Cricetulus griseus: one gene and its partners. Each later gene encodes a partner of the first gene's protein in a complex. Links are inferred from orthologs where the notes say so. Each region holds a gene or a part of one and is shown in the gene's direction. Other genes may lie near its edges.

The links. The genes of interacting proteins can lie anywhere in the genome.
Region 2: Strn (region 1) and Stk24 share a complex: the UniProt entries of both Homo sapiens proteins name them as parts of the core of STRIPAK complex. The link is inferred for Cricetulus griseus from reciprocal best matches to the Homo sapiens genes STRN and STK24.
Region 3: Strn (region 1) and Stk26 share a complex: the UniProt entries of both Homo sapiens proteins name them as parts of the core of STRIPAK complex. The link is inferred for Cricetulus griseus from reciprocal best matches to the Homo sapiens genes STRN and STK26.

Annotation. Positions count from the first base shown.
Region 1 is NC_048600.1:5,296,823-5,300,897, forward strand, and holds the start of Strn (striatin), read left to right. Parts: upstream 1-1,264; 5' UTR 1,265-1,371; coding exon 1,372-1,605; intron 1,606-4,075. UniProt on the Homo sapiens protein: Calmodulin-binding scaffolding protein which is the center of the striatin-interacting phosphatase and kinase (STRIPAK) complexes.
Region 2 is NW_023276807.1:271,174,934-271,178,581, reverse strand, and holds part of Stk24 (serine/threonine-protein kinase 24), read left to right. Parts: coding exon 1-89; intron 90-310; coding exon 311-468; intron 469-3,648. UniProt on the Homo sapiens protein: Serine/threonine-protein kinase that acts on both serine and threonine residues and promotes apoptosis in response to stress stimuli and caspase activation.
Region 3 is NC_048604.1:19,072,242-19,075,889, reverse strand, and holds part of Stk26 (serine/threonine-protein kinase 26), read left to right. Parts: coding exon 1-179; intron 180-3,648. UniProt on the Homo sapiens protein: Serine/threonine-protein kinase that acts as a mediator of cell growth. Modulates apoptosis. In association with STK24 negatively regulates Golgi reorientation in polarized cell migration upon RHO activation.

The DNA of each region.
Region 1 (4,075 bases):
ATTTGCAACCAGAGCAGATACAATGTATTTCCTGTTCTTTTTACTAGTCTCCATGGGAAGACCAGGGAGCAGAGAGAGGACAGGGACAGGATGTCCTTCCCTTGCAAGTCACTTACCAGCTTCTATCTTTAATTTTTTCTTATTCTTTCCATGCCCACAGGAAGAAAACAAGATTAAAGATTTCTTGTTAGAGTGACAAATAATTACTTAATTTCGTTTTCATTTCTTAAACGTTCTTCGGGCACCTTCCCGTTGGTGTAGTGTGAATTTTTAGTGATAAGCAGGGAGCTCAGAGAGGGAAAGCATTGGCAAGCTACTTGGAAGGAAAGGATTTTGGTGTGCTTTTGGTGTTAAAGGTCAATTGACCAAGAATCTGGGAAAGTGACAAGTGAAAAGGGAGAGGCTCCTGGGTATTCAGGAGAGCAGTGGAGCAAAAAGGAACTTGGTTTCCTCCTATTGTAGCCTTTAGGGCTCTGTGACTCTACATATGTGTCTGTCTCCTTTTGATGACAAGAACTGTGACATCTATCTTTATATTCCCGGCACGGAATATAACTGACAATAAAATACTTGTTCCAGTGAACTGAGTTTAAACTGTGCGGCAAAGACGGGGAAAATGAGATTGAACAAGCAGTGCTTGTTACTTTCACAGGATTTACCGAAAGGGACCAGTGTTTCAGATTAAGTGTTAAACTTAGAATTTGGAAGAAGCCCTCCAAAATGTCGAATTCCAGCCGAGAGACAGAGGATCAACCGGTCTGTCAACAAGATCGAGCCCCTGATTGAGCCCCCCTCGGGGAAAGGAGGGCAGGCGCCACCGTGACCCGTGGTGCCGGGGTGTCGGGGCTCTGATGAAGCCCCAGATGGGCACCGAGCGGATGGATTGCTTTGAGCCCATTTCTTAACAAAACGACCAGGAAGCCCTAAACTGAGTGCAGTTGGGCTGGTACTCGGCGTGATAACTTCCGCGTGTGAGTATGTAACAGGGAGCGAAGCCCGCGAACTTCCGCGTGAAGGGAGCCCTAAGGGCACTGCCCCGCCGCTCGGCGGGAGAGGAAACTCGCTCAAACCGGAGGGGAGGGCGTGGCAAGGAAGGGGCGTGCCTTCAGGGTCCCCTCGGAGAGGCGCCGCCCCACAGGCAGCGGGCGCCGCCACGCCCCGGGACTACATTTCCCGGCAAGCCCTGCGGGCCGCAGTTGACCCACTTCCCGGCCCGTCACGGGCTCGCCCGGCCCCCGCGCCCAGGCGGCTGCTCCCTGCTGACTGGGGTGTGGGCGGGGAGCGGCGGAGGGAGGAGGCAGAGCTGGCCGCCGCAGTTTGCCGCCGCTGCTGGGCGCCTAGGCAGAGCTCCCCGGCGTTCGTGCGGCCGCCATGGACGAACAGGCGGGTCCCGGCGTCTTCTTCAGCAACAACCACCCGGGTGCTGGCGGTGCTAAGGGACTCGGGCCTCTGGCGGAGGCTGCAGCGGCCGGGGACGGGGCGGCTGCGGCGGGGGCGGCCCGAGCTCAGTACAGCCTCCCCGGGATCTTGCACTTCCTGCAGCACGAATGGGCCCGCTTCGAGGTGGAGAGAGCCCAGTGGGAGGTGGAACGGGCGGAGCTGCAGGTAAAGACCCTCCCGGCCTGGCCATCTTCATCCCGCCTCTTCTCTCTCTTCCGCCCCGCCCCGGACCCTTCGCCCCTTCCCCCAGCCTGCTCGCGTCCCCTCCCCCTTGCCTTCGCCCATCCCTTCCAGAATTTCATCTCCTTTCTTTCCTCCAGTCACCTTTGGCTTTTGCCTGACCCCATTTCCTAGAACCCTGTTTCCCACTCCCTCTCTGCCGGAGCCTTTTCGTCGGCTGTTTCCCACTCTCAACTCCCGTGTTCATTTCAACTGTTTGCTATGCCACATCATGGGTTGTCCCTTTCGGTTTACTGATTGGGTTGACAGTAGTTTTGAGAGACTGAGCAAATCATCCTGGCTTAACGTGATTCACACCCTAGGTCTAGAGACATTCCCCGCAAAATGTTTTAGCAGTTGGCTACTCTCCCTGCAAGGAAGGTGCGCAGAGAAGACAGCACAAGTTGTATCAGGGAGGCCCTGGCTTTCTTCGAACTGGCGTAGAGTTGGAGTGTTACTAACAGGATGAGCCCCAATTTTGTGTCTGAAAATGTTTCTTCACCCTTCTCTGCCCCTTCTCCGGATTTCGTTTAGATTCGTAGGTTTTCAGTGAAGGGATGAACTGACGGGAGGCTGGTTGTTCCGAGATTCCTCCTCTCCCCATGGTCTAAAACTTCCTAAGAGTTTATTTTATGCCTAGTGTTCTGCAAGATTGACATGCACTTTAGAAGGAACTAAAGGGGCTTCAGCGTTGCGTTGTCTCCTTGCATAACCAGCAAGATAAAGCATATTTGGCAGAGGGGAGCAGTTGGGGTCTGGAGAAGAATGAAAGAAAGGTTGGTGCCTCACTGGCCATTCTGAACTGATAAATAGGTTTATAAAACTTCTAAAACACACACTAATTTCCAAAGGAACTCAAAGAGCTGTGAGTGGTTGTGCCTCTCTTGTTTTATGGGCTAATCCTTTATGCTTATGAAATTCGAGTACAGTTTTAGTTTAGTTTGTGGATTGCTTGAAGTGTTACTTTTTTGCCCCCCACCCCTTTTTTTCTTTTGGCACAAAAAGCCCAGAAAGAAATCTGCAGAAGAGACTCCTTTGCAGACACACACTGCTTTGGTGAGGTGCAGCTGGCTATGGAAGGAGCAAACAGGCAAGGTTATGGTAAATAGGTCTCTATTAAAGGCTGTGCCAGCTTTGTGACCTTGAGGAAATACTGTGACCTCTCTGGGCTTTGGTTTCATCATTTTCTTAACTCAGCACATGCTCATGGCTCATCGAATGCCCACCTGTGTATATTGACTCTGGATTAACAAAACAGAAAAGACTGCTGCCCTCATGGAGCTTATGTTTTGTCAGAAGGTGAACAGTCTGCAAATATAGCTGTATGATATGGCCTATAGTTACCTCTGTGAGGAAAAATTAAGGATACAGCAGTAGAGTGTGGTAGGGGCAGCTATTTTAGATAGCATAGCTTCTGGGAGGTAGGTCTGGGCAATAAAGTGAGGGAGCGCCTGTATGGAAGTTTCTACAGTTTGTGTTCTTTGACTTTTTCATGCCTACTTTTAAGTTGCTTTAGTATCAAGTCCATTTGCTATTTGTAAGTTTTCTCATAATGCCTGGCTGATCTAGTCCCCAACCAAATGACAGAGAAAAGTACACAGAAGAGTCTAATGCATTCTGTCATTGAGCTTACGGAGTTCAGGTTCAAGGCACTATTGAAGGCAAGTCTAACTAATGCAAGTTTGCTGGAGATGATTTTTGCTTGAATCTGCTTAGATTTTAGCATATTTCCTGGTTAAAAGAATGTAAAACAAATAGCACTAATCTTATTAAAAACAAGCAATTAAACTGTTACCTTGCTATGTGCAGGAGTTTGAGGATTTCCAAACCATCTTACCTTTGTCCATTCTGTTCTCTGATGCTTAAATTTTACAGTTCATCTCTAAATTTGATCAGTCTTTAATTTTGTCACACACATCCAAATTAACTTCAGGTAAGTTCCCTGTTGTTGCTTATATTAAGATCACTACTTTTTTTTTTTTTTTTTTTTTTTAAATAGCATCTTTCCATTTGTGCTACAATGAAATGAAATGTTCAAAGAAAGTTAAAAAAAAATCATAGAACAGTCAGGTGGTGGTGGTGGTGGTGGTGGTGCACGCCTTTAACCCCAGCACTCAGGAGGCAGAGGCAGGCAGATCTCTGTGAGTTCGAGGCCAGCCTGGTCTACAAGAAATAGTTCCAGGACAGGCCCCAAAGCCACAGAGAAACCCCGTCTCAAACAAACAAACAAACACAAACAAACAAACAAAATCATAGAATAAATGGGGGCAGTGGTGGTGCACACCTTTAGTCCCAGCACTCAGGAGGCAGAGGCAGGTGGATCTTTGTGAATTCAAGGCCAGCCTGGTCTACAGAGCGAGTTCCTGGATAGGCTCCAAAGCCACAGGAAACCCTGTCTCGAAAAACCAAAAAAAAA
Region 2 (3,648 bases), on another chromosome or scaffold:
TGAAATTCAGATTGCTACCATATTACGAGAAATTCTGAAGGGACTTGATTATCTACACTCTGAGAAGAAAATCCACAGAGACATTAAAGGTAGGAGCTACTCTTGTTTTCATTTCTTTGAAACACCTGAAGTGGCGGAGCCTTCCGTACCTCTGTCCTGCCTACTCTGCATCAAGCTGAACTGTTGTGAACCTCTGGGCACCTTGCTATTACAGGCCCTTGTGCCCTGTGGGGAAAGCATGCCTGGACTCCCAGGGTGAGCCTGGGTGGGTATAACTGTAATGATGTCCCCCTGCTTGGTTGTCTTGCAGCTGCCAACGTTCTGCTCTCTGAACATGGGGAAGTGAAGCTGGCTGACTTTGGAGTAGCTGGCCAGCTGACCGATACCCAGATCAAAAGGAACACCTTCGTGGGCACTCCCTTCTGGATGGCGCCCGAGGTCATTAAGCAGTCAGCCTATGACTCAAAGGTGAGAGAGAGCCTGTGCTGTGGACCCACGACATTCAGATGTCTGTCCCCTTTCATTTTTGCATCCGTGTCTTTCCTTCCGTACCTGAGGTAGGTTGTAGAGGTAATTCTGTGAGCTTCCTTCTTCATCTCCCGCTGTGCTATTGGCTATCTTGTTCTTCTGGCCTTGGTGTGTGTTTGATCTGGTGGGGCCAGGAAGGAGCAGATACGAGGGTGGGCATAGCTTCAGCCTTCTGAGACATGCAGACCCTGGATAGATGGCTCGTGGCAGGCAATGCCGCAGCACAGGAGCACCAAGGTGGGTGGGATCTTGGCACAGTGATGAAGGGCAGGGCCTGGACAGAGCTCAGCCTGCTCTGTATAGATAGGGCTTCTAGAGAAAGAATCAGAGTGTAGTGGTATCTTGTTCCGACCATGGACTTGGGGTGGTGGCCACACCTTAGGGTGTGGCTTCAGTGTGTGACGATGGACGTGACCCCTTATAAGGAAGAGGAGGGGCTGGCTCGTGCTCTCTGAAGTTGTGGTTGGAGCATCCTTCAGGGCAGAGGCTGCCCACTGCATCAGAGAATCCACAGAGAAGCCCATGGCAGAATGGGGCAAGCATCATTCTATAGTGACTGCACCATGTGTTCTCATTTTGGTCTCAGGTCCTTACTCCCAGAGGCTGTGAGACAGCAGGAGACTGCAGTCCTCCCACAGTTGCTTGTTTTTCAGCTTCTGTACCTCGTGTTCATTGTTTTTTTGGTCCTTTAGTTTTTTGAAGCCTTGTAATAGGCCACTCCATTTGCTCGGGTCAGCGGCCTGTGCATAGTAACAATGATCATGGCAGAGAAGTAGCTTTCCTGAGTCCCAAACTTCACAACAGCAGCAAAAATTTAACTCAGGGATGCTCATAGGTCGAACATTGTTTTTTGTTTGTTTATTTATTTACGTGCGTGTGTGCGTGCGTTCGTCTATGTGAATATGCACGTATGAATGCTGATCCTTGGGAAGGCTGGAAGCATTAGGTCATCCCCGAGATGGAGTCAGGCTGCTCTAAGCTGTCTGACACAGGTGCTGGGAACCAGACCAGGATTCTTACGAGAACAGTGTGAGCTCTGAAATGTGTAGCTGTCTTTCCAGCCGCCAGTCCCCATCCCCTATGAAGACGGTTTTGCTCTGTTGCTGGAGTCTGACAAACTGGTGAGCTGCCTGCTTCAGCCTTCTGGTGTTGAGATTGCAATGATGTGTTAGCATGCCAGGCTCAAGCCTTTGTCACTCTTTCTTCTCTCTCTCTTCTTTTTAAGATAGGACCCTCCTCCATGTGTAGCAGCTTTCCTGGCTCATTAAATGGTGTGTGGAACATAGGCTAACTTGCCTTTGGGACCTTGGGTGGCTCTTGTAAGGTGTCATGGCATGTCATGGTGGGTGAAGGTGCAGCTGTCCCACGTTCTGGCTTGAGAGAACTCAGAGACTGGTGATGTGGTAGCTCGGGTAGGAGCTCTTTCCCCGGCATCCAGAAAGCAGCAAGTGTGCTTCAGGCTAGTCAGTTCTGCTCTCTGCATTTGTTGCCCAGGCCTTTTCCCTGAGTTCTGTCATACAGAAAGGTGGGTGTATTGTCCACAGCTCACTGTCAGTGCTCATGTCTGAATTTTGGTAGAAGAGGGACTAGAATCCAAGTTCCTTTCATTGCAGGTCATTCTCTTTCAGTTGCACTCAATTGGCTTTTCAACCATGGCCCTTAGGACTTGGAACCCAGGCCACCCATTTCTGTTTTACACATAGCCACCCCTTTTTTGTTTGCCAGAGAGCTCTCCTGATCTTGCTGTCATTCCAGAGCATCTCTAAAATGACTTTGTGGTACAGTTCAACCTTGGTTGTTTTGGGCTATGACTGTCCTCTCCTTACCTGATTTTCATTCGAATCCCCAGGTGCCACACGTCGTAAATGTAGTGATAGGCAAGGTTACGTTTGCTGGGATTTGGTAGAATCAGTTCATTAAGTTAATGGGCTATGGTAATGTAATTATTTGTTCTGAGGTAGAGTAAGTAATGCTGCTTGTGGAATGTTTGGGAGACGCCTTCTGTCTTCCTACTCACATTTGTTAGGGTAGGTTGGGTTTACACATGGATTCTTATTGTGGTCTTTGATTATGTGCCAAATGGCTTGGTGCTCATGGGCTCAGTGTCCAGGTTTGTCAGTGGGCTTCAGATGCACAGGGGGACTGCACAGGCTCCAGGTGCAAGGGCAGCTTAGCCAGGCTAGTGCTAGAAGGACATGGGACGGCTGGCAGTTAAAGCCTTGTCACATGGCCACACATCTGTCACCTGGCTGGGTTTAGATATTTCATAGTTTTGGGTGTTTTTGGTTTTTTTTTTTTGGACAAGGTTTCATTATATAACCCATTTTGGTCATGAACTTTCAGTTCCTCTGGCTCAACCTCCTTAGTGCCAGGATGGCACCAGGTTGTTCTCGGTTAGGACGATCCAAAGAGGACAGGTGAGAGTCAGGCCTTCCTTAATGCTCCTGTAGGTTGCTTTCCTATGTGTGGCTTTCTTGCTTCTTGTCACCTTCATGGTTCTGACTGGTACCCTGCCGTAAGGGTTTCTGGAACTTTCAAAGTTACAATGGCAAGTGAGTCCACTCCAAGTGGTTAAAGGTCAGCAATGTCCGAGTCCTGTAGTCACCTGAACAGGCCTTCTCTTGCCACGTGTAAGAGAGAAGGCTGTCCCTTCAGGGCCTGGTGATGAGTTCACAGGGCAGTGACGTGAGCAGAGGTGTCTCCCTCCACTGCAGGTCCCCATGTCAGCTGTTTGCCAGCCTGTTGTGTTGTTTGTTTTGAGTTGCTGACAGCCCTGCTCACTGTAGAGCAGCCCTAAGACTGCTGTGTGTTCCCAGTCTATCTGATGTGTCTTTCCCGGTGTGTTCTCAGCCTGGGTCCCGTGGACTCTGACATGAGACTCAGACTCAGCACTGGGGAGCCCTGCTGCCTAAGCCCATGTACCAATCACTTCAGTCAGTGCACAGTGGGTTCCTTAAATGGTGACTGTAGTGAAGGGCATTCAGCAGTCTTAGGAAAAGGCTGTCAGTAACTCAAACCAAACGAAACACACAACACAACAGGCCACAAGACTTAGTGACTTATTTTATAATGTTGTATGACGACACATAGACGAAGTCTGTACGGAAGTGCTAGTAGTGA
Region 3 (3,648 bases), on another chromosome or scaffold:
AAGGCTCCTTTGGAGAAGTTTTCAAAGGAATCGATAATCGTACCCAGCAAGTGGTTGCAATTAAAATCATTGACCTTGAGGAAGCTGAAGATGAAATAGAAGACATTCAACAAGAAATAACTGTTCTGAGTCAGTGCGACAGCTCATATGTAACCAAATACTATGGCTCCTATTTGAAGGTAAGGTGTTTATTATATATTATTTCATAAGGTGTTCATGCTGTATTATTTCATAAGATGTTTTCGTTATATTTTGTTTTCTTTTAACTCTATTTTTGAAATGTGGCATCTCTTTTTTTCCCTCTTTTTTTTTTTGAGTCAGAGTCTCACTATGTAGCCCTGGCTGTCCTGGAACTCACAATGTAGAACAGTCTGGCCTTGATCTCATAGAGATATGCCTGCTAGTATTAAGGTTTTCACCACCACACCATACTCAAAAGACAGAGACTTAAATTAAGATTTGGCAATCTTTACCCTCCAGGCAGAATCCAGCTCCATTGATGGTGTCAACTCAACCATTGTTAGAGTTAACAGCCACTTCTTGAAAATACTCCAGAGCTCAGACACACTCTTCCATCCCTGGACTTTTGGTACAGGGAAAAGAAAGGTTTGTGGTCTTTAAGGCCATATTGCCACATAAAAGCTGTACCCCTGGATTTCCACACACCATTCTTAATATTCTAATCTGTCTCAACTGCAGAACTGATGGAGTACATAGCATTGAGTTATGGTGGTTATTTATGCATTTTTCTCTCACAAGGATGTGAGCTCATTGATGACACACAGTTAATCTTGACTAGTCCTAGTTTTTATATCCCTTAGTCCAGCATATGACTCATTCTAAGCACATGATATAGTTTACCTGCACTTTCCCCAGGTTCTTGCTTTCTTCCTCCACAACACTAAAATCTATATGACCAAATCCTTCATTCACAGAAGATGGTGCAATATTTGCAGAGACACTTCCCAGCCCACGCAGAATGACATGTTCTACCCCAAAGTGATATATGTCAACTGTGCCCATTTATCCAGCGACTCACAGATGAATTCTTTAATAAATAAATCCTTTCCCTACTGCCAAAATAATAAAGAAATATAAAATAAATAAGAGATAAATAAGAAAGAAACTACTTCCAGCCCAGTGTGAGCCAGATTGCTCTGTCGGCAGCCTTAAATCTGAGTTGTGGGTGGGTACATTGCCACGGTAGAATGGATTCACTGCATAGCTTTACTAACAGTGCTTTACCTTAGAGGCAGGAGCGCATGTCTGGAGATCAGGCATGTGCAGAAAGATTTCTAGCTCTGTATAGATGGAAGCCCTGTTTTGGTGTGGTGGCACCTGAGTTGTCTGAGGTATGCTGAGTAAAATGTAGCCATCAAGACATTTAGCCTTGAGAGTGCTTGCTTTCCCTCATGGCCACCAGACTATTTAGTGTGGGCAGCACAGGCACAAAAAGAGAGACTGTAGTTCCACCTGAGTGTGAGCTAGCAGTATGAGGTGGTGTCCCCAGTTAGTGACATGTGGGTGGATTCAGTACAGCTCCAGAGCCAAGGTCTGGACTATGGACCCTCATGGGGCTGCCATTAATCCAAGGATGAGGAACTGGCATGGTTTGGGATAAGGCAGGCTCCTTTTCCCAGTGCCTCAGCAGTTATTTGCTTCATGAGCAAGGTTGTGTTGCTGTGCCTGCCCTCCCTGGAGCACCCTAGGAAGACTGGCTGTTGATCACTTCAGCGGTAATGGTGTCAGGATCTTCTGAAGCAGTCCACTTGGGACCACAGTGGTTCGTCTTGCAGGGCAATACTGATAACTTCTACCTTTCTTCTCCCTTTCTAGCCATCTCTTGGCTACACAGATATGCCAGTGTCACAGGTGACCGTTTCTGTGGAGAGAGCCTGCTCTTTTGTGTCTCCTGTGTTGCTACAGTTAGGGCTAGTGAGGTATTTTGGTTTGTGGGTGTATGTTCTTTCTCCTTCTCTTCCTTCCACCCCACTGTGTGTGTGTGTGTGTGTGTGTGTGTATGTGATGAAGACTGCTCTCTTCTCTACCTCCATCTTGGCAACCTAGATGCCATTGCTTTCTTGATCTTTGTGTATACATATCACTTTATGTTGATACTAAAATTCATCAATTTTACTGACTTTGCAAAACTTATTTTATTGTAATATTGTATACATTAGATTGAACAGGAGTGAATTCACTATAGAGCCAGTCAATTGCTAGACACTGTGTCGTACAAGGTACCAGGTGCTGGAGAGATAAAAATGAATAGCACGCCCCTGTCATCAGAGAGCATTCAGTGCAGTATTACAAAAAGTACAGACTTTGTGACAAAAGTATGTATGCTAGGTTACAGGTGAAATGGACAGGAGTGTAGCTCATTGGCAGAGAGTCTGCCTACCATGCTTGTCTTATTGGGTTCCATTCCTATTGGGACTGCAAAAATTAAAATCAAACACAAGCTGCATATTAATAAGTGCAGTAAGCAAGTGGTTACTTGTGTCTTTTTAATCAAGAATAGCATGAAGAAATGGCCTCAGGAAAGAGGTGATGAGGCTGGAAAATTCTAATTTCAGCATTTATTCCTAAGAGTTAGCTGTCATCATATTTTACTACACATGCAAAATTCTGGTTCTTTGCAACATAATGTTTGCTTTTGTATTCATTCCTAAAATTTCTATCTTGGCAGGTCATATTGTTTTATAGAATGCTTTGGAGTGATAGCTCCATCTCAGGACCTTTAGGATCGCCCCCTGATTCCCACAATGGGCTTTGTTGCAGGCAGCCCTGGGAATTTTCTGTCATATGTGTGATTGCCCTTTCTGGATTAAATACTGGTAATTCAAGACTCTCTAGAGCAAACAGGAACCCTTGTTATTTTTAGGCATCTAGATCAGATAAGCTATTTTCAGTGGCTGGCTGAAAATATTAAATAAACCCTATTTAAAATCTTTTTATAATATTTCATTTTAAATCAAAGTACTATGGTGGTGAAGATTTTGATAGTTACTAAGAACCTTTGTTTATTCATAGTTTGCTCACAGACAACTGTGCTCCAGCTATGTGGGTTTTTATTTGTTAGATATCATATTTTAAAAATACTACCTTCAAACCTAGCCTAGTAGTATTTACTTACTAGTCATCTAGTAATTACTTCAGCTATTAATAAGTACAAACTAATGCTTTATTTTGTCCCAGATATTGACTATTGAATGTATTAGGCTATTCCATGACTGAAAACTAATATCCAATATGTTTGTGAAAGGATAAAACTGAAATATTTTCATCTTTACCTATCAGTAATGGAAGTCTTTTGTGACAAAACTGTATAAATGTAGTTATAGATAAATGGTTACACATACAAAACTTATAAATGTTCTCTGATTTTAAGTCACTTCCTTTTTGAGGTGCGTGCGTGCGTGCGTGCGTGCGTGCGTGCATACGTGCGTGTGTGTGTGTGTGTGTGTGTGTGTGTGTGTGTGTGTGTGTGTGTGTGTGCAAAGATGAAACCCAGAGCCTTGCACATGGTTTATATATATTACCGCTAAGGTAAATCCTGGGCATAAGATTACAGTCCAGGCTGGCCCTGAACTCCTGGTCCTCCTGCGCAGCTTTTTGATTACTGTTATGAAACACCCTGTTGGGCTA